Linked DNA regions of Saccharomyces cerevisiae S288C. Changing the gene in region 1 together with any one later gene gives a genetic interaction. Each region holds a gene or a part of one and is shown in the gene's direction. Other genes may lie near its edges.

The links.
Region 2: mutations in YAP3 (region 1) and SPR2 together harm fitness more than expected from each alone (negative genetic interaction), as found in Saccharomyces cerevisiae (2 studies listed by BioGRID).
Region 3: mutations in YAP3 (region 1) and DOP1 together harm fitness more than expected from each alone (negative genetic interaction), as found in Saccharomyces cerevisiae (one large-scale study listed by BioGRID).
Region 4: mutations in YAP3 (region 1) and RER2 together harm fitness more than expected from each alone (negative genetic interaction), as found in Saccharomyces cerevisiae (one large-scale study listed by BioGRID).

Annotation. Positions count from the first base shown.
Region 1 is NC_001140.6:82,269-89,422, reverse strand, and holds YAP3 (Yap3p), read left to right. Parts: upstream 1-4,362; coding exon 4,363-5,355; downstream 5,356-7,154. Other genes in the region: YHL009W-A (gag protein), read right to left, coding at 2,273-3,514; ETP1 (Etp1p), read left to right, coding at 5,702-7,154. UniProt on the Saccharomyces cerevisiae protein: Transcription activator involved in the regulation of genes expressed in response to environmental changes.
Region 2 is NC_001147.6:741,254-748,141, reverse strand, and holds SPR2 (Spr2p), read left to right. Parts: upstream 1-1,838; coding exon 1,839-2,549; downstream 2,550-6,888. Other genes in the region: RUD3 (Rud3p), read left to right, coding at 1-617; AIM41 (Aim41p), read left to right, coding at 860-1,417; SAS5 (Sas5p), read left to right, coding at 2,861-3,607; STE4 (G protein subunit beta), read right to left, coding at 3,961-5,232; dynamin-related GTPase MGM1, read left to right, coding at 6,573-6,888.
Region 3 is NC_001136.10:732,532-743,585, reverse strand, and holds DOP1 (Dop1p), read left to right. Parts: upstream 1-3,588; coding exon 3,589-8,685; downstream 8,686-11,054. Other genes in the region: ubiquitin-protein ligase SAN1, read left to right, coding at 1-1,544; PEX7 (Pex7p), read left to right, coding at 1,986-3,113; MTQ2 (S-adenosylmethionine-dependent methyltransferase), read right to left, coding at 8,783-9,448; NEDD8 family protein RUB1, read left to right, coding at 9,662-9,810, 9,884-9,968; HPR1 (Hpr1p), read right to left, coding at 10,750-11,054. UniProt on the Saccharomyces cerevisiae protein: Required for traffic between late Golgi and early endosomes, and for the normal structure and organization of the endoplasmic reticulum. Required for normal cellular morphogenesis.
Region 4 is NC_001134.8:237,465-244,367, reverse strand, and holds RER2 (ditrans,polycis-polyprenyl diphosphate synthase), read left to right. Parts: upstream 1-1,799; coding exon 1,800-2,660; downstream 2,661-6,903. Other genes in the region: GPI-anchor transamidase GPI18, read left to right, coding at 1-2; COQ1 (trans-hexaprenyltranstransferase), read right to left, coding at 138-1,559; alpha,alpha-trehalase NTH2, read left to right, coding at 3,085-5,427; ECM15 (Ecm15p), read left to right, coding at 6,901-6,903.

The DNA of each region.
Region 1 (7,154 bases):
TAAGTTATTACCATCCTGACAGTTTGATTCCATATCAGTTTGATCACTCATATCCACAATGTCCTCAATCGGGGGCGGATGATGATTTTCCTTCTCAAACTTTTCAACTTTGTTTGTGGAATAATCATTACTATGGTGATTGTTAATGCTTTCTAAAGTTTTTATTGGTAAACTCGTATCGCCTGTTTTTAAAGAAATCTCATTGTCTGTATTTCGGAATTTTACATTTGTTCCAATGCTCCCTTCTTTAGGAAACGAAGTTTCATGATTTGTTTTATTGAACTGCTCCTGAATTAGTTCGGGTTTTGCGTTGTGCATTGACTCATCTTTGTTAGTAATAGATTCATCGGTGATATCTACACATCTACTGAGTCCAGTGTTTAAGATACTCCCAATATTTTTACTACGAATTCTGTCGGAGATTCTGTTTTCGTCATTGATTTTAATAGTATTTTTACTTCCTACCAGTTTCTCTTGTATAATCGATGGAATTCTGTGGACTTTTTCATCATACTTATCTTCATCAATATGACTTGTATTTATTAATCCTTTCTTATCGATTTCACTGATGGATATTTCAGTCGATGCAAGTTCTGAATTAAAATCCTTGTTTGACAAAATTTTGTTTTTATCAGTTGAGATTGAAGTATTTGTCGTTGAAAGTTCAGATTCAACGTCATAATCTCCAGATTCCTCAACATCAGAAAATACGTAATCCAAGTCCCCTTCTAGGTTATTACTAGGAGATGGGTATTTTGCGTTTGAGTCTATTTGAGATAACTCTTCCTCTGTGAACAAATCTTCCAGGCGAGTAATTGGTTTATTATCATCTTCGTAGTTTTCCAAAGCTTCACATAAGTTTGTGACCGTTTCGATTTGATCTTCTTCATTATCATTATGTGAACTGAATTGATGACTCTTGTAAATATTCTGAGTATTTCTTACTCTACCGTCCATCGTATAGTTGGGAATTGTATAATTATCAGATGTGACAATTTTATTTTTGGATGGTATAAAGAATTTGTATCCATAACTATTTGGATCTTTGCATAGAATTATAGAAGGAAGTCCAGATGGTTTCAATTTTTTGTGATTATGATTCCAAATTATTCCTTTTTCGCCAAATGGTAAGAATGACATTAATCTCACTGTAACAGGTTGACGTGAGATTGCCTTCAATGGTAGTTTACCTGTACTTTTGTGTTCCAGGCAATTTCTTATATTGGTAGCAGAAGTTACTGCGTATTCCCAAAATTTTACTCTTAAGTTACTTTGTCTTAGGAGTGTTGTTGCATCAGTTACTATTGTTCTGATGTATCTTTCTGCTCTTCCATTAGCAGCATGATCTTGTGTAGAAGTAAGTATGTGATGTATTCCTTTTGAAATAAAATATTCTTCTATCTGATCATTTGTGAATTCAGTACCTCTGTCTGAATTAATTTCTCTGACTTTCCTGTCAAATTGTGTTTCCACGTACTGAATATTCTTTCTGATTTGAGCTAAAATAGTTTCAGCATTCTTATTGAAGTGTGTGGAGGTCATGCAATATCTCGTGTTGTTATCCACCATAATAAGCATGTACCTTTTAGTGTCCGCGTTTGAACTTGATACAGGGCCAAATATATCCATGCACCATGATGATCCTGGTTCATGATCAGTACTATGATTATTCATAGACCCGGTATAATGATTTCTTTTCGTGGCTTTAGAGATTTTACAGGTTTGACACCAAAATTCATTTGGTTCTTTGATTAAGTCAAGGGATTCTTCATAATGATTATGTTTTATGGAATTTTCAATTTGTTGAATTCCTGTATGGCCCATTCTTTTATGAGCATCTTCCAAGGTAATAGACCTTTTATTTAGTTTAAATCCAGGAGAAGAAGTAGGTTTTATTGCATTTATTTTTGAATCATCGGAAGGACGTTCAATTAACTCGTTCATTTTTACGTGAATGACACCATTAACTATCTTGGTTTTAATTTTTATGATTTTGTTTCCCAATCTGGTATATTTTCGACTTAAAACCATTTTGGTTTTCTTGGCTAAGTCATAACAGCTGATTATAGTGGATTCTTCTTCCGGTACATAGTAAGTCAATAAACACTTATTGTCAGTATTGTTGTGACCATTCTTGATTTTTATATAGCCATACCCTTTAACAGACACTGAACTGTTTTTCCCAATACCAAAAAATCGTGTACTGCGATTACTGTCTTCGTAATTATGCAGTAAGGTTTTGTCATTGGTAATGTTTACGCCGGAACCGGTATCAATAATTACCAGTTTTTTGCTGTTGTACACTTTGTTTGACTTTTTTTGTGTCTTGTTCCAAGACTTTTGTTCGTTTTGCACTGGACTTAAGTTGTTGTTGTCTCTGTGCACCTTGTAGATAATAGGTTTTTGAGAAATTGGTCGAGTCAGGCCTAAGTTCCCTATTTGGTTTCTTTTTGCAGTTAATTGAGCAATGGAAAACAGATTTGCAATACATGCAGCTATTTTCTATTTGATCGTCTGCAATTGGGCTCAAATCAATTACTGTTTCAATAACAGTATTGATTAGAAATTCTTCGTGATTAATTCCTACGTTATGTGGAATGTTGTACAAACGTTGTTTCACAGAATTTCTTAAGGATTCATGTAAGGTTCCCATGATAGCTTCTTGTAGGTAATCCTTTAGATTAGGACAATCTTGGCAGCATTTAGAAAAAATCCATTTTTCCATTAGTACCAACTTTTGAAGTTTATTCATTAACAATGCGGAATTTCTACATGTTGTATCAACCAAAACCTTTTCCCAGGCTCTAATTCTGACATCTCTACCATGTAAACTTCTATATTTGTTTTTTAAACCATCGATTATCCTAAAAATGTCAGTTGTATTTGTGTTCATGATATCTAAACTTTCACCGAGTCCTTCTTTGATTATCTTGCACAAGATTTCATTTTCACGAGGATCGATTTCTATGATATCATTTTCAAAGACATCATCAAATTGATATTTCTTGATGAATTTTTTAAAATTGTTTAAGAGAATAGGAATGTTCTCGACATTATTAGTCCTATAATCAAAAACACAATCCTTAGGGTAGAATCTTTTGTTGGTTGAAGTTAACGTATCGAATAAATAGTAAGTCCCTGTAGCATCTATATGTTCATGTAATATATTATTGTTCTCGTTTGTTTCCAATAATTGTATCTTTTCAACTAGATCCACAATCCTATTCTCAACCTTGTCAATGGTTTCTCCGAGTTTTAATAATTTTTCAGCTAGCATCTGAATATCATCAGTCTCAGAAAGTTTTTCCTCTTCTGCCTTTAAACCATTTAGTATGGTTTTAAACCTATTTAAGTTTCTTTGATATTGTTTCACCTGTTCATCTTTAATAGAAACTTTTCTTAATGATGATGGCGTCTGTCTGACAGTATCATTTGTTTTGACTTTCGATTGAATCCGCGCAGAAATGTTGTCGTCAATAACATTTCTTGTTTCATCCCTCACTGGGGTCGCCATGTTGATAATTAGAGGTAAAAAATTAGTATTAATGAAGAAGTGAGTACTGATCTTCTTATACTAAATAAGAGAGGTATATAAAACACACGCCGATTGGTCATATTAATTATGACCAATATAATAGTGATTCCGGTAGTTACTATACATTGATGTGACGACTCATATTCCTCATATATGTACCTACCATAACATGTTCAACTAATAGGTCTTTAACACCGCTTCAGTATTGTCTGAGCTTCTCGTTTAACATTCCTTCTGCAATAGGCGCAATCACACTTAAACGTATACGAGTTGTACATTAATATACGATGTAAGCATTAGATTGTTACCATAGCAACTCATGTCACTATCAATTACTCTCGTTCCAACAGTATGATTCATATTTTATATAATATATATAAGATAAGTAACATTCCGTGAATTAATCTGATAAACTGTTTTGACAACTGGTTACTTCCCTAAGACTGTTTGTATTAGGATTGTCAAGACACTCCGGTATTACTCGAGCCCGTAATACAACATAATCAATAAGAATTTGGTTTCGTGGTCTAGTCGGTTATGGCATCTGCTTAACACGCAGAACGTCCCCAGTTCGATCCTGGGCGAAATCAATTTTTTTTGAATTTTTTTTTTTTCTTTAGAAAAATGTATAGTGGATTTTCGTAGCTTTATGTTAAGAGTACAGCAACGGCATTATTATTCAATAAGCATTATAAAACAGATCGATTTGAATATTACCGGAGGCCCTCTGAGCTTTCTTATTTGTTTATCATTTCGATAAAAGGGGCAGTAGGTGTTTGCTTTACTTCCAGTATAAACTAACGAAGAATAAGGCTGAAGCAATTGTTATGACGCCTTCTAATATGGATGATAATACCAGCGGATTCATGAAATTTATTAACCCTCAATGCCAAGAGGAGGATTGTTGTATCAGAAATAGTCTATTCCAAGAAGATAGCAAATGTATAAAACAACAACCAGACCTATTGAGCGAGCAAACAGCACCCTTCCCAATTTTGGAAGACCAGTGTCCTGCTTTGAACCTTGACAGATCAAATAATGATTTGCTATTACAGAACAACATATCTTTCCCTAAGGGTAGTGATCTTCAAGCAATTCAACTAACCCCTATTTCAGGCGACTACTCTACCTATGTTATGGCAGATAACAATAATAATGATAATGATAGTTATAGTAATACAAATTATTTTTCTAAAAATAATGGTATATCTCCAAGTTCGAGGAGTCCCTCAGTTGCTCATAATGAGAATGTTCCAGATGACTCTAAGGCAAAGAAAAAGGCTCAAAACAGAGCCGCCCAAAAAGCCTTCAGAGAGAGAAAAGAAGCCAGAATGAAAGAATTACAAGATAAATTGTTAGAAAGTGAAAGGAACCGCCAAAGTTTATTGAAAGAAATTGAGGAACTAAGAAAGGCAAATACTGAAATCAACGCAGAGAACAGACTGCTACTGCGGAGTGGTAATGAAAATTTTTCAAAGGACATAGAAGATGATACCAACTACAAATATTCTTTCCCAACGAAAGATGAATTTTTTACCTCTATGGTCCTGGAAAGCAAACTGAATCACAAAGGCAAGTATTCGCTAAAGGATAATGAAATTATGAAGCGAAATACCCAGTATACTGACGAAGCAGGAAGACATGTACTAACAGTCCCCGCCACCTGGGAGTATCTTTACAAACTTTCAGAAGAGAGGGACTTTGATGTGACATACGTTATGAGCAAATTGCAAGGACAAGAATGTTGTCATACCCATGGACCTGCGTATCCAAGAAGTTTAATCGATTTTCTAGTGGAGGAAGCTACTTTGAATGAATGAATAGACTTTGACAAAAATAACTTACAAACACTAAATAAGAAAGGGCAGGCAACATCTTCATGAGGCAAACCAGGTTCTTTTTTTATTGACTTCGAAGTATACATTTTCATCGCATAATTGACACACAATACGCCCTTTACCATTCCAACCTACTACACCTTTTACTTATATAAGTGTATAAACTATGTTCTTACGCGGTGTTTTTAGGGGACGGCCTGTTATAAAATGGAAAATATAAAAATGAAATTTCACCCGCGGATTAAGTAAAAGTTCAAAGGAAAACACATAGAGGCAATAACGGAATAGTAGCATTGAATGTATTACTTTCTGGTTGGCCCTCACATCTATGGATCAATTTGAGTATATCATTACTTTAGAATTTGGAAACCAAAATCAGGTTGAATCCGCTTATCAAATTTTCAAGAGTATTCCGAAAAAGTTGAAGGCAAAAAGTATCGGGGAAGAAAGTATTAAAAGTAATAATCAAGACTGGCAGGATTGGAGAGTCTGTGACTTGGAAATAGACATGATAACTGATTTCAAAAATCAAACATCAAAAGAAGAGGAAAGTGATTTGATTACTTCACAATACTTAGGCCATGGGATAATAAGGCTATTCAAGCTAAGCAATGCCAATAATACTCTTAATGAGAAGGAGATTTTGACTATCCCGGGAGATGATACTATGATATGTATCCTGTTTGTTCCAACTTATTTTACCGTTCACGATTTATTGCATTTTTATATTGGTGATGATATTGTTAATAAGCAAGTTTCAAACTTTCGTATATTACGAAATCAGCAGAAGGGAATGGGTTTTAATTTCACGGTCTTAATTAAATTCAGGAATGCACTTGATGCGAAAAATTTCAAGGAAGAGTTCAATGGCAAAAGTTTCAGCAGGATGGATCCCGAAACATGCCATGTGATCTCTGTAAAAGAAATAGTTTTTCAAAAAAAGCTCTTCCAAAGACCAGCCGCTAACGAGGACTTCCCCTATCTGCTTACTGATCCATTCACTGTTAAGAAAAAAAAGGAACTGGTAAAAGTCGAACTCCCCACATGTCCCGTTTGCCTTGAAAGAATGGATTCAGAAACTACTGGATTAGTAACGATCCCGTGCCAGCACACTTTTCATTGCCAATGCTTAAATAAGTGGAAGAATTCAAGGTGTCCAGTGTGTCGACATTCAAGTCTGCGGCTAAGCAGGGAATCATTATTGAAACAGGCAGGTGATTCCGCACATTGTGCAACATGTGGTTCCACTGATAATCTATGGATTTGCTTGATCTGCGGTAATGTTGGATGCGGTCGTTACAATTCCAAACACGCAATCAAGCATTATGAAGAAACTTTACATTGTTTTGCGATGGATATACGGACACAAAGAGTGTGGGATTATGCGGGTGATAATTATGTCCATCGCCTAGTTCAAAATGAAGTTGATGGGAAGTTAGTAGAGGTCGGCGGCTCCGGTGACGATGACAACAATGATATAGGCAACTCCGATGAACTACAAAATGTTGTTTACGGGAACAGGAGCAAAAACGGTGAGAAATCGAACTCTAATAAAAAAGATGGCGAGCTGGCGGCAAATTTTTTAAGGCATAGGGAGTATCATCTAGAATATGTGCAAGTCCTAATATCTCAATTAGAGTCTCAAAGAGAATATTATGAACTGAAATTACAAGAAAAAGATCAAACTGCGTCTGATTCTTCGAATGTTGAAAGTTTGAAGAAGTCTATGGAAGATTTGAAACTCCAATTTCAGGTCACTCAAAAGGAGTGGCAGAAAAGGG
Region 2 (6,888 bases), on another chromosome or scaffold:
AATTGAGACAGGCTTTGGAATCCCATGAAAAGGAGAAAGCAGTATTAAAGAATTCTCTAAATGATCTGGAATTGAAGATAGAAGAAGTTGACAACAAAAGGGAAGAAGAGGCTAGAGAGAGAGACCAGGAAGTCAAATCTTTACGATCCCAACTTGACACGGAGATAGAAACGCACAACAATGACACAGAAGCTTTAGAAAGCATGAAAAAACAGCTAGAAGCCATGAAGGAGGACGCCTCTATGAAGGAAAAATATGAGGAAGAATCTAAGCAGCACATCTTACAGATCGGAAAACTACGTCACGAAGCCATTATACTAAATGAGCATTTAACAAAGGCACTGGCCATGTTGAAGAAATCAAGCGATTCTGAATCCGTTGATAAAGAACTGATATCCAATCTATTGATATCTTTCGTGTCCATACCCAGAGCAGACCCAAGAAAGTTTGAAGTTCTTGAATTACTGTCCAATTTCTTAAACTGGGATGAAGATAAGAAACAACAGGCCGGCTTGATCTCGAATAATGAGTCTAAGAATTCAAGCGCTGTATCGAGAACGGAAAGCTTTGTATCGCTTTGGACCAACTACCTCGAGAAAGAGAGTGAGAAAGACTAATCGGGCAAACTAAGTCTAGTTCAGAAGAGCATACGTACTTAGTGTAGCATCACCCAATTTATACTCTATAAACGATAAATGATATAAATCACATCTACCCGGCATCTGGGACTTTTCGGGGGGAAGGACTCAAAATTAAAGGGAAGAAAAAGGATCTGCAACATTTTTTACAGAAGTAATGAACTGGAGAAAAAAGACTTTGGGATAAAGTTGGGGAATACAGCAAATAACACTATTCCAAGATGTTCAGACAATCAATTAGGCCACTTGTTTCAAATAGACTAACCTTCATTCGTTATAACAGTTCTCCAGCCTACACGGCTGCAGTCAGCCTATTGAAAGGAGATTTGAAAAAGGCTATGATTGCCAAGGATGAGATGAAGAAGACAGCAATCAGAAATATGTTATCTGCCATAAAAAACAAAGAAATTGCTTTAAAAGGGAAGAGCGCTGATGAGTACTCCCTGTACGACATGTACTCCAAGTTAATATCTCAAAGAAAGGACTCGATCAATGAGTTCCTTGCTAACAAGAGGGACGATCTGGTGGCCAAAGAGCAAGGTGAAATGGACATTATAAAGAAATATATGGACCAATTGCCAGTGTCTTCAGAGCTTGATATTGATCAAAATGTGAAGAAATTACTGGACGCCCTCAAAACAAAGGCAGGTGAAAAAAAAGTTCAAATTAAGGAAATCATGGGAGAAATCGACTGGAAGTCATTGCCAACAGAATGGAAGACATCTCCAACTGCCATCAAAAATAGCATTGTTAAGCAATTCAAGGAAATTTTCAAATGAGGTCCTTGTTTTCTGCGCGATGAATCACAGCCCAACCTTCAATAGTAAAAAAGAAGTAAAAATATTCGTCAAAAATTATGAAAGATACTTTGTTAATACATATCACAGTTACATATTAAAATAAAAAATTAATGCTCGCTTCCTTTCACCTTTTTTTTTTTTTTTGTGGCTACGTTTTTGTGTCCCATGGCAACCATGATATGTCTTGCTAACTGTCATTTGCCCTTTGTTTATAAAAGAGGCCGCTTTTGTATAATGTATAAATTATTCTTTTCCTGAAAGTATTTGTAGTTATCCAAGACAAAAAACCAGCAGCTAACATTGCTACACATAACTAAAGAACAACACCAAGCCAGTAACTAGCACGAAAGGAAGGAAAGTAAAGTTTTGTATCCCATTCTCTTTTTTGATCCTTATTGAAATGTTAGGATTATATCTATCCTCCCTTTTCTTCGCCTTTTTTATGGCACAAGTGTTTGCTACCAAATACTCAATTACTTTTACATCAGATGAGTATGAAGAAGATGAAACAGGACAAAATGAACCTGGTCCTTTAGTTTTCCATTTGGATAAAAACTCATTACCACCAGCTCTGCTAAATCAAATGGAGTTTAATCCATACTTAGTATTAGCAGATTTACCGGAGGAGCCGCGAGCTGTTGATTCTCAAGAACATACCGATACGGTCCTTGCTTCCAAATCTGTTATAGATTTTCTGTTGGAAGATCCTCTAACAATAGTGGAGCACAAAAAGTTTTCTCAAATTGAAAGTATTCTACATGAAATTATGGAAGACAGCATACAGAAGAAAGTCGGGGCAGACGAGGTATTTGAAGAGATTCCGAAACCGAAAATTTACGCGTATGAAGATATTTTAGTAACTAATATGAGCATCATCAATAATAGTGAAATGCCGACAAGTACTGCAACATTAACGAGCACCATTTCTTATTTATCTAGTACGACAAGTTTAGCTTTATCCACGGGTGTTACCAGCGTTGAGATTTTCCCAACAATCACCCCGGGAAATATTACAACTATTGGGGGATACGAAAATTCATCATCCTCCTTAATGCCGTCGATGGGAATCTTATCTTTTCTATTTGGTCTGTACTTGTTACTTCACCCTTAAAGTTCGGCAGTCATATAATCAAAGTTTTGATAGAGAAAGCATTTATATAACATATAAGCAAATGACCAATTAATGGTATTATTTAGTGACGTTTACAGCTGGCGCGGTCGCGTTACACGGGCAAGAAAAAATCAAAGCCACATCAATAAGTCATCACCATTAGAGAGTTGCACGACAACAAACTAGAACAGCCATGTTCGGGTGAAGAGGAAGTGCAGCAACTCAAGTTTTTCTACAGACTAAATTGTTTTTACTCTTGACTCCAAAAGCCCTTTTTTTTTTTTTTGGTGCCATATAATAGACGCTCTTTTATGGATCATTCAATAGAAGTCACTTTCAGAGTAAAAACACAACAGGTTATAATACCGGAACAAAACATCCGGGGAAATGAACTTCCCTTACGTCGGTGGCAGATGGAACTCCTCATGTTAGATGCAACAGGAAAGGAAGTGGAGCCTACCATCCTCTCTAAATGCATCTACCATTTGCACTCTAGCTTCAAACAGCCCAAAAGACGACTGAACTCGCTGCCATTTTTTATCAAGGAAACCGGTTGGGGAGAGTTTAACTTAAAAATAGAATGCTTTTTTATAGGTAACGCTGGAAAGTTTAGCATTGAACATGACTTAACGTTTGAAGATGATGCATATGCAGTTGACTATACCGTTGATGTGCCTCATGAATTCTCACATCTCAATAGTGAACTATCTAAATATTTTGATCTCCCGTGGAAAGTAGTGTCTCCGGAGGAAGAAATGTCTCTTCGTATAGCCGATTTGCCCTGGATTAAAAGCCTTGCGCTTATAGATGAGGATATGATGACGGACGTGGTTCAGATGATATTGAATGATCCTGCAGTACAGAGAGCAATTGAAAATCATCCCAGAAGGGAGCAGTTTTTTATGTTTATAACACAACTACCAGATGATTTGTTAATGAAAATTCAGGCATTTTTGAAATTACCGAACAAAAATTCCACTAAACAAGAAAGGACAAATTTTGGGTCAGACGCAATACATAAGGACGAGCCAGTGAAGGCTCATAACAAGCTAAAGTAGGGACAGCCATCATGAAATTAAACAATGCCTGAAAACATAGATGATTCTAGCAAGTTGGTCAAATAAGTCAGTGAATAATACTGTTTCCAAAACGATTGAAAAGAATTTTTGAGTGCATGACACTTTTGTTCGTTTTTGTTTCGTTTATCCAAAGAGAAAAAGGAAGCAAATGACAATGCTTTGAATTTTCATTGTTGAATGTTTTGACTTACTTTATTAAAGGACGTTTTTGCGCTTCCACAGAACTAATGTTACTGTTGTTATTCTATGTAAATATGGGATGGGTGTAGGTATGTATATTTATATAATAGCATCCATTGATAATTACTGCTCACAGTATTTCCAATTCGAAGCTATTGATAACCTGGAGACCATATTTTCATGGTTGAGTCCCATGAACCTGTACATACAGCTAACCCATCTGGACTCGAGCGCACACCAGTGACTCTGCCACCATGACCTTCTAATTTTCCAACAATCTCTCCTTTTAATACATCCCACACAACACAACCAATGTCTGTATAGCATGAGTACATCAATCTTCCAGATGCACTAAAATCTAAAGAAACAACGCCTTGGTTGTCTAGATAGCTTGAGCTTGTTGATTTTAAAGTTTGTGGCGATTGCGCGGTATTGTACTCCATGTTAGCTGCCATATAAGTAGGGGTAGGGGTACGTTCTTCATAACCTCGAAAAAGAGAAAAAGTAGCAATAGAACAGTCCGACCTTAAATCATACATATTTATCGCACCATTGTCACTTCCTGCAACAATCGACATCCCGTCTTTGAAAAAACGAAGTGCATTAATATCACTATCGTTAACGTAAAAGCTTTGTACAGCGGACGGAGATCTGCTATCCCATATGTAAGTATACCCGTCTGATCCACAGCTAGCGAATGTGTTCGAAGAATTTTCTGAGTTTGGCTCTTCAGGAATAGCTAATGCCAAAACATCACCTAAATGGTCAGAATATTCTCTCACCCTCTTTGCTTTCGGTATATCCCACAAGGCACATGTCATATCCCCACTTGCTGTCAATATATGTGCGTTATCTGTAAATTCAATGTCAGAAATATAGCAAGTATGTCCTTTGAAAATTGACGCAACGTTTTGCGCTACTCTGTTTTCTTTCGAAACTCTATAAATGGTACAGTTATTGTTTAATCCTGCGCTTGCTACCAAAGTACTCGATGGCGAAATAGCGCAGGAAAGAACCCATTGAGAATCTAATGGAATAGCGTTCTGTTTTAAACCTGAAGCACTGTCCCATATAAGCATAAAGCCATCTTGACTTGCACTCAAAATACGTTTTGAATCTCGACTCCACCGAAAATCTGAGATTTTATTATTATGGCCTTTCAACACGATATTTGGCTTTAAGTTGATCTTATTTTTGGTCAACGAAGTAACTTTGTTGGCCATCTGGAATAAGCTTGCATCTTGTATCTTGTGTTTTGCTTTATTTATTTGAGCATGAAGCTGTTTACTCTCTTGTCTGGCGGCCTCTATTTTATTTTGAATTTCATCCTCCACTGCAGAGATATCCTGTAGACTTTGTGGTTGTATATACTGTTGGGTGACATTATTAGAATACGTTATCGAGTCCATCTGATGTGCTGCCATCGTAATGTGTACCTGATTGAGCTGTACAGTTTTTTGAGTATTTTCTTCCTTGACTTAATGAACTAGCAATATCGTATTTTCTTCCCTCTTTCCTTCCAATAATTCTGGCCTATTGACCTTGAGTTCTGGCACAAAGGAGATTATGAATAAAATGTGCTTTACAGCGAGTTACTACAAAAAGGGGAAGAAAACAATTAGAAAAGTGATAAGAGATTTTGAGGATACTGTTTCGATATTGAAGGGATTCAAGTCATGTGAAGGATGGACTTCCAAAAAAGTTTTATGTTTGAAAGTTTAAGTTACAACTAATATGAAACAGGCAAGTGTCAGTTGAAAACAATCTGAAAAAATTTTCGACACACAGAAAAACAACTGTTGGGTAAACCTAACAGGGCTACAAGTCAATCTGTTAAGGCAAAAAGCCTCACAAACTTTTTCCTGCGTAACACATGTGTCTTTTTTTTACGCAGTATCTCTTCCTGAAACATTTTTCAACGCGTGTAAAAATTTGCATCTGACGAAAGTGCGTACAAAGGGTTGTGGTCCCAAAAGAGGTAGTACACGCCGAGAATTTGCACAGGGTACTGGTTACAAAAGGTAAGTACCCCCCGCAGGGACGGTTGAAGCTATTGAATCTTCGTCTCATCGGCTGATATCAAAATCCGATCATACATACCCATCTCAATCTCAATAATTGACATTTCATTTAGCCAGAGAAGAACATCGACAAGTAAGCTGTTCTTCTGCTCGCTAATGGTAAATGAAGTAGTCGCTCTTAAGTAATTATAAATAGTACATCTCTCTCAGCGGATGACATATTGTGATAAAATTTTAACGCAGGTGTCAGTAAATAACAGAGTTGTAATTAGTTTTAACTGCAAAAGACTTCGCAAAGAACATATGGCGGGGTTTATCCTTGAAAAAACGGTTTCCATAGGAAGCCTAAAATATGAATGGATCTAGTGTACTCTTTGAGGAAATATATTTCAAATATTTCTGTCCATGAAAGATTTACTATGAAATTAACCCTCATTCAGCGCTTCGTATTCGATGATCAATATGCAAGTTGTTAATATTTCCTTGTACCGTTAAAAACAAAATAGTAGCGTTCTATTGAAAGGCAAGACATAATCAGCTAGGAAGGTTCACACCAGTTAACGGGAGAACACGAAAAAGCCTCTTTTTGGGTAGTACAGATATCATTTTATTCTTAGGCTTTTCCATTCTTTTCGTACTTATAATATAGCCTCGCATATTCACCATAATACTCTGAAAGCATGAGTAATTCTACTTCATTAAGGGCCATCCCAAGAGTGGCGAACTATAACACATTAGTAAGGATGAATGCGAGCCCAGTACGGCTTTTAATTCTGAGAAGACAGCTTGCTACGCATCCGGCGATACTATATAGCTCTCCTTACATCAAAAGTCCGTTGGTGCACTTACACAGCCGCATGAGCAATGTTCACAGATCAGCACATGCCAATGCTTTGAGTTTTGTTATCACCAGGAGATCGATATCACATTTTCCTAAAATTATATCTAAAATTATTAGGTTACCCATATATGTGGGTGGCGGGATGGCTGCTGCAGGGAGTTATATAGCTTATAAGATGGAAGAAGCTAGCTCTTTTACTAAGGACAAACTAGATCGAA
Region 3 (11,054 bases), on another chromosome or scaffold:
ACGGTGCTCTTGTTTTATCTTTTCGTGATGTTCCTGCGTCTACTCCACAAGACCGTTTGAACAGCTTCATATCTGTTGCTGCTCAGCTTGCAATGGAGAGATTCAACAGACTATTAAATAGACCAAAAGGAATATCAAAGGATGAGTTTGATAAGCTCCCCGTTCTGCAAGTTTCTGATCTACCCAAGGCCGAAGGGCCCTTATGTAGTATATGTTATGACGAATATGAAGATGAAGTTGATTCAACTAAAGCAAAAAGAAAAAGGGATTCTGAAAATGAGGAGGAATCTGAAGGAACAAAAAAAAGGAAGGATAATGAAGGTGCGCCCCTACGCACAACCGCCGATAATGACAGTAACCCATCGATTACAAATGCTACGGTTGTTGAACCGCCTTCTATTCCTCTCACTGAACAACAACGCACTCTCAATGATGAAGAAACAAATCCAAGCTACAAACACTCACCAATCAAGTTACCTTGTGGCCACATTTTTGGGAGGGAATGTATCTACAAATGGTCAAGATTAGAAAATTCTTGTCCCCTTTGTAGACAAAAGATCAGCGAATCTGTAGGTGTTCAACGTGCAGCCCAACAAGATACGGATGAAGTAGCAGCTAACGAAGCTGCTTTTGAACGTATTAGACGAGTTTTATACGACCCAACTGCAGTGAATAGCACTAACGAAAATAGTTCCGCCCCATCCGAAAACACGTCCAATACAACGGTTCCCACTATCGGAAATGCAAGTTCTGGCGAACAGATGTTATCAAGAACAGGCTTTTTTTTAGTGCCTCAAAACGGCCAACCTTTACACAATCCAGTCCGTTTACCGCCTAATGATAGCGATAGAAACGGTGTCAACGGGCCGAGCTCAACTACTCAAAATCCACCCTCTAATTCTGGTGGTTCGAATAACAATCAAAGTCCGCGCTGGGTTCCCATCCCTTTGACTTTGTTCCAATTCCACAGTCCAAATCCGAATCCTTCCGCTTCTGATTCTTCGGCAAGCCCATCAGCAGCGAACGGTCCAAACTCAAATAACACTAGTAGTGACGCTACAGACCCTCACCACAACAGACTAAGAGCCGTTTTGGATCACATATTCAACGTTGCTCAGAGGGGAACTTCTGATACCTCTGCAACAACAGCACCCGGAGCACAAACTGTTCACAACCAAGGACGTAATGACTCATCGTCCTCTGATACAACGCAAGGAAGTTCCTTTTTGGAAAATATTTCACGATTAACAGGCCATTTTACGAATGGCTCAAGAGACAACAATAACGACAATAACCATAGCAATGATCAACAACGAGGTGGAAGTACTGGTGAGAACAACAGAAATAACTTGTTTTCCTCCGGTGTTGCCAGTTATAGAAATCAAAATGGTGATGTTACTACCGTCGAACTACGCAACAACAATTCTGCTGCCTTTCCTCCTACAGACGAAAATCCCTCTCAAGGCCAAGGTTCAAGCAGTTCGGACACCACCATTCATAACGACGTCCCTAATGATAACAATGAGCAACGATCATCACAATAAACAATACCGCTTCTGAAGTATGTTAATATGAAAATATGTCCTATTGGCAGTCATCCATTTTCAGACATTATTTTCTACTCCTTTTACCTTTTTTTTATCTGCATCTTTATATATATATATCATATACTTATTTTTCTTTACTTCTACTTAAAGTTCTATAATCATTGTTAATCAGAAATTTGCATGTCTCCAGCAAGTAAATATGAAGGCCGAGAAATTAAACCACCGACATAACCTCCTCTGAAAAGTCGTTTCGCAAAACAGTAAAAGGTGAAAACACTTTTAAGAACTGTGGAACACAAACTGTGTTTTCTTACCATAAAATCTTTTACCGGAGGTCGAAATCGTTTTCTTTCTGATTTGGAATTCGACGCTCGAAAAGTGCAGAGATCTCATATTGTTAACGGACTATCATCTAACTTTTTGCATAATTTATACAACATGCTCAGATATCATATGCAAGGTTTTAGTGGGTACGGTGTCCAGTATTCTCCCTTTTTCGATAACAGGCTCGCGGTAGCTGCTGGTTCAAACTTTGGCCTGGTTGGGAATGGAAAATTGTTCATCCTTGAGATTGATCGTTCAGGTAGAATAGTGGAAGTTAATTCCTTTTTAACACAGGATTGTTTATTTGATCTTGCATGGAACGAAAGTCATGAAAACCAAGTGTTGGTTGCACAGGGCGATGGTACATTACGCTTGTTTGATACAACCTTTAAAGAGTTTCCTATTGCTATATTTAAAGAGCATGAACGAGAAGTATTCAGTTGTAATTGGAACTTAGTCAACAGGCAGAATTTCTTAAGTAGTTCATGGGATGGATCTATAAAAATATGGTCCCCTCTAAGAAAGCAAAGTTTAATGACCCTTACTCCACGACCTTTAGAGATTACCAAAATGGTGGATCCATTAAACGCCATTATATTGAAAAAGAAAAGCTTTACAGGTATTTCAAAAAACAGGAACTGTGTATACCAAGCACAGTTCTCGCCCCACGACCAAAATCTCGTATTATCCTGTTCAGGGAATTCTTATGCAAGCTTATTTGACATTAGACTACCTTCCGGCAAAAATCAGAATAATTTTTTAGTGCATTCAGGACTAGAAGCATTGACTTGCGATTTCAACAAATACAGACCTTATGTAGTTGCCACAGGAGGTGTAGATAATGCCATTAGAATCTGGGACATTAGGATGCTAAATAAAAATGAATCAGCGACTATCAAGAGGACTGTGCCCGGCCAACTTCACAATTCATCATGCATCAATGAAATCCCTAATGCGCACGGGCTGGCAATCAGAAAAGTTACCTGGTCCCCTCATCATTCCAATATTTTAATGTCAGCTTCATATGATATGACCTGTCGAATATGGAGAGATCTCAGCAACGATGGTGCAAAAGAAACATATAAAACTAACTCTACGGATGCTACTAAAGGTTCCATTTTCAATTTCACACAGCATTCAGAATTCGTATTTGGAGCTGACTGGAGCTTGTGGGGAAAGCCAGGATATGTGGCTTCAACTGCATGGGATGGAAATTTATTTGTATGGAACGGCTTAGGTTGACACATATTCTTTTTACACAAATTTTTTGCATTATTTAAACTTTAAAATTATTTTTCAATCATTGTCAGCATTTGGCAGATCATTTACGTAATTATTTAATATTCTCAACACGAAATTATGGGTAACAACGCTTCTGACTGTGCAAAAGAACATTCTAAAAACATACCTACGGCAAAAACTGCTAATTACTCAAATTAATCAAGTTTTTATAACGACATAAGCGAGTGCTGAAAGAAGGAATATTTAGAGTCCGATTACCGTTTTATTAATAAACGACATACTTATATATTTGCTGGGCGTTCCACCCGAGGCACGTGATCAAAAGTGATTTTGGTTTTTTCAAAGGCTAAGCTTCGATCTCACTGGAAAAGGAACAATAGCAATACCTAATATAAAACTCAAGCCTCCCAATTATGTTTATAACGGTGAAATAAAAAGCCGACAGAGCAGCTTTTTCTGAGAGGATCGACAAAAAATGTCCTTACCACTAAAGCCCCTTACAATTGACTCAAATAATAAACAACTAGACTCCAAACAGAAGAAGTTTCGTGCTAATGTCGAGCGAGCATTAGAAAGATTTGACTCTGTAACAGAATGGGCGGACTATATTGCTAGTTTGGGAACACTATTAAAGGCGTTGCAAAGCTGGTCACCTAAATTTCAGAATGTAAGGTACTATGTTCCTTCTCCATATCAAGTAAGTCGAAGATTGACATCCTCATTATCGCCGGCGTTACCAGCAGGTGTTCATCAGAAAACTTTAGAAGTATATACGTATATCTTTGAACATATTGGCCTTGAAACTCTGGCTACAGAATGTAACATTTGGATCCCGGGAATTTTACCTTTGATGACTTATGCCTCTATGTCTGTTAGGTCACATTTGATAGAGCTTTACGATAACTATATCCTTCTGTTGCCTCAAACAACGTTAAGACTGCTCATCAGACCTTTGATTTCTAGTTTATTGCCAGGAATTGATGATGAAAGCAACGATTTTTTACCTTTAACTTTAAAACTCATTGAGACTCTGCAGGAGAACTTGGATGATGATTCCTTATTTTGGCAAACGTTGTTTCTAGTCATGACTGCAAATAAAGGCAGAAGACTGGGCGGACTCACGTGGTTGACTAGAAAGTTTCCGTCGTTGAATGCTGTACCTCATCTAGTAAATAAAATAAAAATGGAAGCGGAAGAGAACCCAAGTGAAACTGAAACCAACGATTCTCATCTAGACAGGAAAAAAAGAAAAGAAGAAGCTTTCAAGGTCTTATTGCCTGCTGCCAAAGATTTAGTAACCCCTGAACCAGGTCTACTTATCCGATGCCTTGTCGGTTGTTTAGAAGATGAAAATGATATTCTTATTAAAAGGAGCGTTTTGGACCTTTTATTACAGAGGTTGAGGCTAGACTCTCCCGTTTTGAATGTTCTTATTACTTCTGAGGATAAAAAGTTATTGATAATGAGTTGTTGTAGAACTACTTTGAGCAAGGATATGTCTTTGAACAGAAGAATATGGAACTGGCTTCTCGGTCCTACTGCTGGGGGCATGCTAAACAATAACGGCGGGAACTCCATGGAATATACTACCTCGGTTAAGTCAGCAAACGAGGAAAGTAATGTATATTTTACAAAATATGGATTAAGCGCCCTTTTAGAAGGTTTAAGCGACCTTCTTTCAGAAGAAGAATCCGTGTTAACTGCATTCAGGATAAGTATGGCAGTAATGGATAGATGGGAAATTGGCTCACTTGTAATTCCTGAATTGTTCATCCCACTTCTCTATTCCTCGGAAAAATTTAAACAAAACGAACAAATAATGAAAACGGCACGTACTTTCTTTGACAATACTGAAACAAATATTATATGGGGAAAGCTATTTCAAGAACTTGAAGACATCAAAAACCTAAAAATTTTGGATTTCGTATTAACAAATTTTAATATTGGAAACGACGAAGAGATTATCGTACGCCACCTTCCTTTGATATTATTAACTTTACTGGCCCTTCCATCTAATGATAAAGATTTCGACAATATTTATAAGCTCCAAAAATTTTCTTTGTACAACAAATTGTTAAACTATATCCCCGAGAGAGCCCTTCTCCCTCTCAGTCACTCAAAACTAAAGCACGATGATGAAGTAAGCTGCGAAGAACTTTTGGCCAAAATACGTGGGTTTTATACCAATGTTTCTAATCCATCTAGCATTTTAGAGAAAGAAAATATAGCTGAGCGTTTGCCACCCTTTACAACAGAAGATCTAACTTTTTTAATAGCAGACCTGATTCAGAAGAAGCTTCTTTCAAGTTTATGGGACTTGGAAAATATCAATGAAAGCTCCAAATTATTTATAGCTATTTTCGAAAAGATACCTGAGTCTGAAGAACTTAAAGGACGATCTCACATAAGCTGGTCGGATAAAAAAATAACTCAGAGCATATTTGAGGCTATTCCCAGGCTTTGTGAATCTAATAATGATGCAAAATCAGAAGAAATCGTTGGAATTGTGGAAATTTTTGGTAACTACTTATATTCACGCATGGAATTCATTGAATCGATGAAATTATTGAAAGTAGTCATGATGGCCGTATGGAAATCTTTAAAAGATCCACGCCATCAAATACTAGGTGTCAAGAACTTAAAGACTTTAAACAGATTTATTCCATCCAAATTTATTGAAAGTGCGTTAGTGTATACTTTTGTGGAAGAGGAAGATATATCCGAGAGATTAAGCGTGTTAGATCTGTTATGGACACAATTAGACTCAGATTCAAACTTGATTAGGCGCCCTCTTGAATTAATTTTGGGCGAACTTTTTGATGACCAGAATCCTTTTTATTTAACCGTTTCAAAGTGGATTTTATCGATATTAAACTCGGGATCTGCTTCAAGATTATTTTACATTTTGACTGATAATATTTTAAAGGTTAATCGTCTCGAAAAAGAAAGATTAGACGAAAGGGATGATCTTGATATGCTCACATATGAGTTCCAAATGCTTGCTTATGTTTTGAAAACAAACAATGGACGCACTAGGAAAGTTTTTTCCACTGAGCTTACCTCAATAAAATCTTCGACCATATGGAAGAATGAAGACGTTTCCACATATAAAAGTTTGCTGTTGGTTACATTGATGAGATTTCTAAATATAAAGAGCAATACACATGCGAAAAGTATCAGGAGTGCTCTGATTCTTTTGGATATCTTACTCGATGGAACTGAGCAAAATTTCAAGGACATTGTCATATTTTTGCTGCAAATGTCGTCTAAATATATTGCAGAAGAAGGAATTGAGCCCGAGTTAATAGCAGTTTCCTTGTTAGATATTGTATCGAAGGTTCTCAGACTATCACACGATAATGGTATTAAACTAGACATTTTTGATGACAATGCTGCCCATTTAAAATATATCGATTTCCTTGTTACCAGCGTTTCAAATATGAAAAGCCCTCTTATTGTAACGGCCTATGTGAAGCTTCTTTCCGAAAGCATTGTTTATTTTGAGAATTCTATATTTCGAATGATTTTACCATTGTCTGCATCTCTTGTACAGTGTGTTCAGAGATTGTTTTTGCTAGAAAAGAGAGAAGGTGGTTATTACCAACCAATAGCTTTGCTTCTGGGTGGTCTGGAAGAGCTATTAGAGATTTCACATGGTTACCTTGTCACCGAGGAAAGGGAAGGATACTTTTCTGGGTCTAATCTAAAGGGTGATTTTATTCAATCCGTTGTTTCAAACGTTTTTTCGTCAGATTCTTCCAATGAAGAAAGTAAGATTCAGGGGGAAAGAGACGTAATACTACAATCTTTCAGACAGGTGATTTCATGCTGTTTAGATATCTGGTATTGGGCCCATAACATTTCGTGTAAATCTAACGATGATTCTAGCCTGGACGCCACTAATCATAACTCATACAAGTTCAAATTTAGGTCGAAGAAACTGTTGGAAACCTTATTTCTACTAGAACCTTTGGAACTTCTGGAAAATTTGATCAGCATTAGATCAGACAATACTACAGTCACACTAGTACATGTGCTCGACGGCAATAAACCCGCCATTACAATACCACATTTATTGTATGGTGTAATTATCAGATACAACAGAACGGCATCTGTCAAGTTTTCTAATCGTGACGGAAGTAGGTCAAGCACAACTAAATTAACTAAAGGGGAGCCTTCCATGTTAAAAAGATTAAGCGGGGAATCGATTATTGCATTTTTGTTTAACTACGTGGATTCTGTAGAAAACTCTGCAATGGAGGAGTTTTATGGGGATTTCCTGCTATTTTTCAGAGAAGTAGCAACCAATTATAACCTTTATTCTGATGTTTCGTTGTCTATATTAAAACTTGTTGCCCTTATTTCTGGAAAAGTAAGTAAAACGCAGTTTGGAGAACAAAAACGAGTTAGGAGGGAGATATCTGATGTGTTTTTCAAATACCTACCTAATGCATTTATAAACTTTACGAACTTATATCGTGGCCACCCTGATTCATTTAAAGATTTAGAATTTGTAGTATGGCGTGTTCAATATATCGTCAACGATCAAATTGGAGGAGACAAGTTTAATACAACGTTAGCGACAATTGTAAATCAATGCCTAACCCCTTATATCAAACCCAAAAGTGAAAAAACTATTCCAGGTTATGTCTTAGAATTGGCCGCGGTCGTATCCCATTTAGGTTCAAAAGTTAAAAGTTGGAGGCTTTTAATTGCGGAATTGTTCCAAAATGACAAAAAACTTTCGGTAATTGGCAGCGATCAAACTTGGGAAAAGATTATTTACGAATGGTCCATTTATCCAGAAAATAAGTCAAAAATCTTGAACGATTTACTATTAGAAATTGGCTCCAAGCGTTCAAGTGTGACTCCGACTTTAATCACGTTTAACTTAGGAAGCGATTCTGAAGTCGAGTACAAGTGCCAAAACCTTTTGAAAATATCGTACTTGTTGATGGTATCGCCAAATGACGCATATTTGTTGCACTTTTCCTCTTTAATAAGTTGCATTTTCCACTATTTGGTGTCCAAAGATATCAAGCTCAAGGGAAGCTGCTGGATCTTACTAAGGGTTTTACTTTTAAGATTTTCAGAGTCCCATTTCAATGACTATTGGTCTATGATCAGTTACTGTTTACAAACTAATTTGCAAGAATTTTATGAATCACTTCAAATACAGTCAGAAGTCGATCCACAAACAATATTGCAAGTATGTAAAACTTTGGATTTGCTACTCTTACTCAACATGGAAGGCTTCACCTCTACGAATGAGTGGATCTTTGTTATTGATACAATAAATTGCGTATATAAAACGAACTCATTCGTCGCGCTGGTAGATGAAATCGCAGAATTCAAAGATTACGAAATAACCAAAACTGATGATCTTGAATTACCGACAACTTTAAAAGATGGTCTCCCATTATTACGAGGCATTCACAAAATCGAGAGACACACGCAACTAAGAAGCTTCTTCCAGAATTTGAGTTATCTACATTATGAGAAAGTTTACGGACTAGGGTCAGTTGATTTATATGGTTGTGGTGAAGATCTCAAAAAAGATATTCTGTCATGAGCATAGCTATGAATTTTTCTTTATAAACCGAAATATAGTTATACGCTTTGAGTAAAGACACAGGTTATCAATTATAACGTGAAAGGTTTTGCAACTGTCACCTTGTAAAGCTGTACACACTGAGGACTTCCCATCCCGCTTTTCTCGTTTCAATAAGTTTCACATTCCATTTGTAAGTATCGACAAACCTCTTAATGACTTCTTTAGGCTTATTTCTTGCACAAAATAATATATATGCAACACCATCTGGAGAAAGAATTTGTTCTAATTGTCGTAGCAGTTTATCAGTAATCGCCATCCCGTCTTTTCCACCCAATAACGCTAAATCTAGCCATTGGTCTGCCTCCTCTCTTGATCCTGGGACATCTGGCACACATTCTGCTGGCACATATGGTGGGTTAAATATTAGGACATCAACCTGATTATTCCGAATACTGGAGTTTAAATCAGCTTGAATCACTTCTAAAAAAGAACTTTTACATGAATTTAACTTCGCAGTATCCAAAGTTGCTTCGAGCGCCCATGGGTTGATATCAACAGCTAAGTGGATGGAATTTTCCTGCGGTATTATTTTGTTTTGCATTAGAAATGTTGTGACGATACCTGATCCCGAACCAATTTCGCAAACGATGGCCAAACGATTACCAAATTTCTGTTTCAAAAAATCATGCTCTTTTTCCAAACAGTCCAGTATGAGGAAGCTATCCTCAGCAGGCTCATATACTTTATCGTAATCGCATTTTACATAAGGGGTCGGTAGCATACTTCACCTTTCTCACCCTGTGTTAAGTTTATCAATATTATATTTCAGAGTATAATTATATCAATATTTATATGAAATCAAATTCCGATGGCGTCTTCGGGAAGGCAAACGAACAACTTTTAGCTGAAAAACCAAAATTCTGTTATTCAAATGAAGTATTCCGACAGAGGAATAAATAAAGGAAGGTAATTAACTTCCTTACAGCCGTAACCGATGATTGTTAAAGTGAAGACACTGACTGGGAAGGAGATCTCTGTTGAGCTGAAGGAATCAGATCTCGTATATCACATCAAGGAACTTTTGGAGGAAAAAGAAGGGATTCCACCATCTCAACAAAGACTTATATTCCAGGGAAAACAAATGTATGTTCATTCAGTGGTTAATTATCTTTTAAGTTTATTTACGTTTTTGAGACCTTACTAACGACCAGGATAGTGATGATAAATTAACAGTAACGGATGCACATCTAGTAGAGGGAATGCAACTCCACTTGGTATTAACACTAAGAGGTGGTAACTAGAACCATTTTCCGTCATTTATGGAATTTTATCGAAGGTGTTCATTAGAAAAGAAGACAAAACGAACATAAGTTCACTTGGACTTTGGAAGGCTACCGCCCCCAATTTGTCAAAAAAAAAAATACATACAATTTAGTCTATAGAGTCTGTTATAATAAATTAATTGTTTTTAGACGAGAAATGTGAACTAAAACTGTTTAGTATCTATCAAATTATCCGTTATAGCATAGTACGGCTATATATGGTCTGATTGCTGGTCTCATATGACTTTATGGTTTAAATTTCATAAAGCTGGCCATTGCATGGTTCGCGCTGGAAAGAGAGGAAAAGCGTGGTGATAAAGAGCAAACCAAGCATACTGTTATATGCGATTACAGACTATCTGACCAAAAGACATATTTCGCCATTTCTTCTCAATCATGTCTTCCAGGGCAATTTTGTAAGCACGATTGGATGTCCTCTTGTAGTATACCGAATTTCTCATTAAGAAAAGCATCCTTTGCGCTACAACTTTATCAAGTGGAAGTATATACTAAACTCGGAGCATGCTTTTGCCAACGATATCAGTCTTAGCAAAGGGACTTCTAAGGACGTTATTGACGCCTGATTAATCTAATCAAATATAGGTTTGTCATTTTTTTAAACCGAATGGATTGACTTTTGTTTTCATCATAAGTATTACTCTCTGATAGGATCTCTGTGGTACGCTAAAATCTATCTGAATTGTTTGGGACACTATGCATGAATTTCTTATCAGTTTAAAATTTCTATTAAGAGGATAATTTATTTCATATCTTGGGTAGATGAACCATTAGAAATGTTCGAAGTAGCTGCATTGTTATCTTCTGTTTTTGGATTTTCTAGTTGAGCTGTTGTATTCTGTGGAGCAAACTCCCCGGCAACACCACTGTCAGGATCTTGCGAAGAAACTTCCGAGCTTTTTATTTTGGTATTCTCTTCTGATATTTCTCCCTTTGGTTGCGTCTGTTCGCTCTTCAACTCATCTCCTTCTGTTTGAGAAGCGCTGTTTATACGTTGCGACTTAATTTTTTGCTCTCTTTCAGGAAACGAAGCCTCTTCTTCCAGTG
Region 4 (6,903 bases), on another chromosome or scaffold:
GATCCTTAATGCTTGTATATTTCTTCTTTTACTAAAAACATATAAAAACTATTTACATATAGAATATAGAATAATGCGACACTATGACCTTCTTCATTTTCTCTTTATTCTTCACCCTTTATTTGAAATTTCAAGGTTTACTTTCTTCTTGTTAGTATACTATTAGTTAAAAACTCTAGGGCAGAACGAGCATCAGATTCAGGAAGAGAATCCCGTAGATTTTGTAATGCCTTGTCCCTATATTCCTCCGCTAGTATTTTCGTCTTCGCTATACCATTATGGAGTCTCACAGAATCAATAGTTTTTTCAACATCACCCCTCTCTGAAAAATTGCGTGAAATTAGTGGACCTAAAGATGGGTCTTCTTTCCATGCAAACAAGACTGGAGCAGTAGCAATACCTAATTTTAGATCCGCGCCGGATGGCTTCCCTAAATCTTTTCCAGACACAGTAAAATCAAGCATATCATCTACGAGTTGGAAACATATACCTAGATTTCTACCGAAATCATAGCATTCGTCGATAACGGCAGGTGATGCCCCAGATAATATAGCAGCACATCTGCAAGATTTTGATATCAAAGCAGCAGTCTTCAGATAGGTCTTGTGTATGTAGTATTCAAATGCAGTTTCTATAATCTGATCATGAGATAATTGCAGCCCCTGTTGGCGGCTTGGAACACGAAAGTCGTGCTCTTTAACTTCAAGCTTTTTAGAAGGAACCGGAAGTAGCTTATGGCCATTTTCGATGGTATCGATATCCGCGTCAATGGAAGTATTTTTCAGTTGCATGAACTCACCTTCGACAAGATTCGCAATACTATTAGACATTAGTTCTACGACTTCGGGGTTGTGTAATCTTGAAATTGACACTGTTGCTCTCCCTAAGAGAAAATCACCCGCCAAAACGGCCATCTTGTTGGTAAAGGCAGCATTTCCGCTTGGCCTTCCTCTTCTTGTATCAGAATGATCAATAACGTCATCATGAAGTAAAGACGCAGTGTGTATCATCTCTACAATCTCTGCTAATCTTCTCTGTTTGGGTAAAATCCCTCTTTGTTTGTCAAAAGTTTCTTCTGGCAAAGGCTCAGGACCTTTTGTCAAGGGATTTAGTGGTTTAATACCGTGAAGAATATGTAGTGGGGATATGCTACTTGCAGGACGTTGAAATAGTTGATTTTGACTAGGTTTAGAGTAAATTGGGTCCTCAGGAACATCCGACTTGTCAATTTTCAAGTGATTTCTTTCTGTCATGGGAATTTCAGAAAGTGCTCTTGACAACAACAACACTAACAAGGGACGTACTTTTTTGCCTTCTGTTTCAAAATAGTAACTAGTAACCTTGTTTAGCACCGGATGGCCAGACCCGATGAGGGCAACTATATTTTTGGCCAATGTGTTCATCTCCTTCGAGACTAATGATATGGGATTATTCCAAAGAATCTTGGGAGTTACCAACTTACTGGCAGCGTTTAAAGCAACTGCAAAGGAGGATTTAAAGCGGCATCTTCGAGATGAAATCAATTTGATGTGATGAGCAGCGCCAGACCTTTGAAACATCGTCCCACTGTACTCAATTCGGACTGAATGGCACACTTCTTGTGTTGTAGAAAATCTCTATAGATTATAATGTGTCTTACTTTAATCTTCTAATCCCCTAACCCTGTTACCCTCGCTCGGGCTTTTTCCGAAGATGCCAACAAAATGCTTAGAATGAAAAAAAAAAAAATTTTCGTAATAATGACAGGTTTCAATAGAACTTAAGCAGTAAAAATAGGGTAAACACAGGTAAAAGACGGTATGGAAACGGATAGTGGTATACCTGGTCATTCATTTGTGTTAAAGTGGACAAAAAACATCTTTTCGCGCACATTGCGTGCATCTAACTGTGTACCTAGACATGTTGGGTTCATCATGGATGGGAACAGGAGATTCGCTAGAAAGAAAGAGATGGACGTAAAGGAGGGCCACGAGGCAGGATTTGTTAGTATGAGTAGAATCTTAGAACTGTGTTATGAAGCAGGAGTCGATACGGCTACCGTGTTTGCCTTTTCAATTGAAAATTTCAAGAGGAGCTCACGGGAAGTTGAATCACTGATGACTTTAGCGCGCGAAAGGATACGACAAATCACAGAACGTGGAGAGCTGGCCTGTAAGTATGGGGTACGCATTAAAATTATCGGCGATCTCTCTTTGTTGGATAAGTCTCTATTAGAAGATGTTCGGGTTGCTGTGGAAACTACAAAGAACAACAAAAGGGCCACGTTAAATATCTGCTTTCCATATACAGGCAGGGAAGAAATCTTGCATGCCATGAAAGAAACAATTGTTCAACATAAGAAGGGCGCCGCTATAGACGAAAGCACGTTAGAATCGCATCTCTACACGGCGGGGGTACCCCCTTTAGATTTATTGATTAGGACAAGTGGCGTTTCCAGATTAAGTGACTTTTTGATATGGCAGGCATCGAGTAAGGGCGTACGCATCGAATTGCTGGATTGTTTATGGCCAGAGTTTGGACCTATACGGATGGCATGGATTTTATTAAAATTTTCGTTTCACAAATCCTTTTTAAACAAAGAGTACAGATTAGAGGAAGGTGATTATGACGAGGAAACCAATGGGGACCCCATCGATTTGAAAGAAAAAAAGTTGAATTAAGAAAGGTCTGCATTTTTTTCCTACCACATGGCATAGATATTTATAGAGTAATGAGCAAGATAAATGAGTTCGCAAAAGAACATTCAAATAATTAGTAATAAATGAGTAGAAATTCACGCATCTTTATAGAGTTTATAATGCAAATCTCCGCGCGGGGTAATTTGAAGTCCAATTTTTCCGAGCGGCGTGCCAGTTCCACTAAATTATATAAAGCGGATAGGAATTGTAATTACCTCCCAAAGTTAATATTCGACTAATGTATATTTCATATGTTATAGCGCTTGTAGGAACTGTTTTCCATTAAAACTAATATTCTTTATTTCTCAATTTTATTTATTTATTTATATTTTTCCTTTGCAAATATATTTGACGCAGGTTCGGATCAGACATTTGGTATATAAGGAGACCTGCATATACTCAAATAATGGTAGATTTTTTACCAAAAGTAACGGAAATAAATCCTCCATCCGAAGGTAATGATGGTGAAGATAACATAAAGCCACTTTCAAGTGGTTCAGAGCAGCGGCCGTTGAAAGAAGAGGGGCAACAAGGTGGTAGAAGACATCACCGGCGGTTGTCCTCTATGCATGAGTATTTTGACCCGTTTTCCAACGCAGAGGTCTATTATGGACCAATAACAGATCCAAGAAAACAGTCAAAAATTCATAGACTAAATAGAACCAGAACTATGAGTGTTTTCAATAAAGTTTCTGACTTCAAAAACGGAATGAAGGATTATACCCTGAAAAGGAGGGGTTCTGAAGACGACAGCTTCCTCAGCAGCCAAGGTAACCGTAGATTTTATATTGATAATGTGGATCTCGCTTTAGATGAGCTGCTCGCTAGTGAGGACACAGACAAGAATCACCAAATTACCATAGAAGACACTGGGCCCAAAGTTATTAAAGTCGGGACGGCCAATTCCAACGGTTTCAAACATGTAAATGTTAGGGGAACATATATGCTTTCTAACTTGTTGCAGGAACTAACCATTGCAAAAAGTTTCGGACGACACCAAATATTTTTGGATGAGGCGCGTATAAATGAAAACCCTGTTGATAGATTATCAAGATTGATAACGACTCAATTTTGGACGAGTTTAACGAGAAGAGTTGATCTTTATAATATTGCAGAAATTGCTAGAGACTCAAAAATAGATACGCCAGGCGCTAAAAATCCAAGAATTTATGTTCCATATAACTGCCCAGAGCAGTACGAATTTTACATTCAGGCATCTCAAATGAACCCGTCCTTAAAACTTGAAGTGGAGTACTTACCAAAAGATATTACAGCAGAGTATGTTAAATCATTAAATGATACACCGGGTTTGTTAGCCCTGGCTATGGAAGAACACGTTAATCCATCTACTGGTGAAAGGTCCCTAGTTGGTTATCCTTATGCGGTACCTGGCGGTAGATTCAATGAATTGTATGGCTGGGATTCATATTTAATGGCACTGGGACTCATAGAAAGTAATAAGGTTGATGTTGCAAGAGGTATGGTGGAGCATTTTATATTCGAAATTGATCACTATAGTAAAATTTTGAATGCTAATAGGAGTTATTATCTTTGCAGATCTCAGCCACCATTCCTAACCGATATGGCTCTGCTCGTATTTGAAAAGATAGGAGGTAAGAATAATCCAAACGCTATTCAGTTGTTAAAACGCGCGTTCAGAGCTGCTATTAAAGAATATAAAGAGGTGTGGATGTCGAGCCCTAGGTTAGATTCTCTGACAGGGCTGTCTTGTTATCATTCTGATGGTATTGGTATCCCTCCGGAAACTGAACCAGATCATTTTGATACTATATTATTACCGTATGCTGAAAAGTACAATGTTACTCTGGAAAAGCTTAGGTACCTTTATAACGAAGGCATGATTAAAGAACCCAAACTGGATGCATTTTTTTTACATGATCGTGCCGTGAGAGAGTCAGGACATGACACGACTTATAGGTTTGAAGGTGTATGTGCATATTTAGCGACAATTGATCTAAACTCCTTGCTCTATAAATATGAGAAAGATATTGCTTTCGTCATTAAGGAGTATTTTGGTAATGAATATAAAGATGAGAATGATGGAACGGTAACCGATTCTGAACACTGGGAGGAGCTAGCTGAACTGAGGAAAACAAGGATTAATAAGTATATGTGGGACGAAGATTCAGGGTTTTTCTTCTATTATAACACGAAACTGAAATGCAGAACGTCTTATGAGTCTGCAACGACTTTTTGGAGTTTGTGGGCTGGTCTTGCAACTGAAGAGCAAGCAAAAATCACAGTAGAAAAAGCTCTTCCTCAGTTAGAAATGCTCGGCGGACTAGTTGCATGCACAGAAAAATCAAGAGGTCCTATTTCTATTGATAGACCGATCAGGCAATGGGATTATCCTTTTGGTTGGGCGCCGCACCAAATATTAGCCTGGAAAGGTTTATCTGCATATGGTTATCAACAAGTAGCTACAAGATTGGCTTATAGGTGGCTGTACATGATTACAAAATCATTTGTTGATTATAACGGAATGGTGGTAGAAAAATATGATGTGACAAGAGGGACTGATCCGCATCGCGTTGATGCGGAATATGGTAATCAAGGTGCTGATTTTAAGGGCGTCGCTACAGAAGGCTTTGGTTGGGTGAACACAAGTTATTTGCTCGGATTGAAATATATGAATAATCATGCAAGAAGGGCTCTCGCTGCTTGTAGTCCACCATTGCCATTTTTCAATAGTTTGAAACCCTCTGAGAAAAAATTGTATTACCTATAATATTGACGAACATATGTAAATAAGATATATGTTATATTCTTCTTTCTATCAATAACCATGAGATTGTGCCTCAGTAATATTTGAGACGATTTAGAGTAAGGTCAAATATTATTATTAATCAAGTTGTGTAAAGGCTCATTTGTGAAGGTTAGAATAGTAATCGATGATTTTCAAGTAAAAGTGTTTGAAGGGCATTTCAGTAACATCTTCAAACTAGGAGTTTGTTGAGACAAAAAAGTCTGATTTTCATAAGATCATAACTTACGCTTTGAAGATCGTTATGAGTACCTTGTAGCTTGCCAGATCTTCTTGCTTATTCTTAAGCTCTTGGGTAGTACTGTATAAGACTGCTTGACATCGGGAACACTATCATTACCGTGTGATAGAATTCTCGTACCAAGCCGGTTCACCTTTGCGTGGTCTAGTGCATAGGAAGAATGACTAATAGAAAGCTTTCATTTCTATTAGTGTCTTAAATGCGAAGAAGGTATGGGAATCTATTACATACATGAAGAATATAGGATCTGTATATCGTCGTCACCGACGTAAGGTTTTTTTGTCAATTCTCGGTGAACAATTTTTTGCAAGAAATATATTGATACTTCTTGTTGAAATATTTTTCTTTTTCGGAAAACAAAAACATAAAATAATTATTTAAGAAAAAAAATTAATTAATAAATTTAAATAGAAAATCTTTTTTACTTAATAATAATTAAATAAATAAGTCACATGATTTATGTAGGATCAATTTGCTCAAGATTAATTTATTATTATTGATATTAGTAGGTGCCAGTTGAATAGCTATATTTTCAGTCTGTTTGAACGTTCTTTTTTTCATTTTCTGCTGAAAGCAAGTACTCCTACTTTTATTACTTTACATGTTATCGGAGGCCTGCACAGACACTTGTATCCTATACTATCAAGGTAAATATGATTGATTGATCCTCTTGGGAAATGGGATTTTAAGTTTTGTTAGCATTCTGGTTTGCCAACCTGTTGGTAAAGCACTATTTTTCAAGCTTTTGCAACGAGATTTGTCTCTTTGATTTTTTATTTATGATTTCTAACTTTTTACTTTTAGTTAAACTATTAAAGAATAATTTTCGCAAGGTACATAGCGATTTAAGTAGTTCAGAAAAGAAATTATTTAAAAATTACTCGCTCTCTTATTTGAAATGAAGATGGTTTTCAGACAAACTCCTACACAAGCTTGTTACTGGCTTTCAGTCCGAAAACAGCTCCAAACCCTTTAATAAAACCTTTCGTTTCTTTTACTTTTTATTCGAATTATATAGCTCTTTGACATTCCTTTTTTAGTATGATTCAAGCTCCCCTCTTTTCCACCCCGTGAAAAACAGAATATCATTAACCGGGATTCACTGACATCGTCAAAAGGAGAGATCAAGATATTCAGTTTTTGTCATTGCCGTCGTGATCATTAACTATAAAGCACATAAACTACAAGTTTAGAAAATG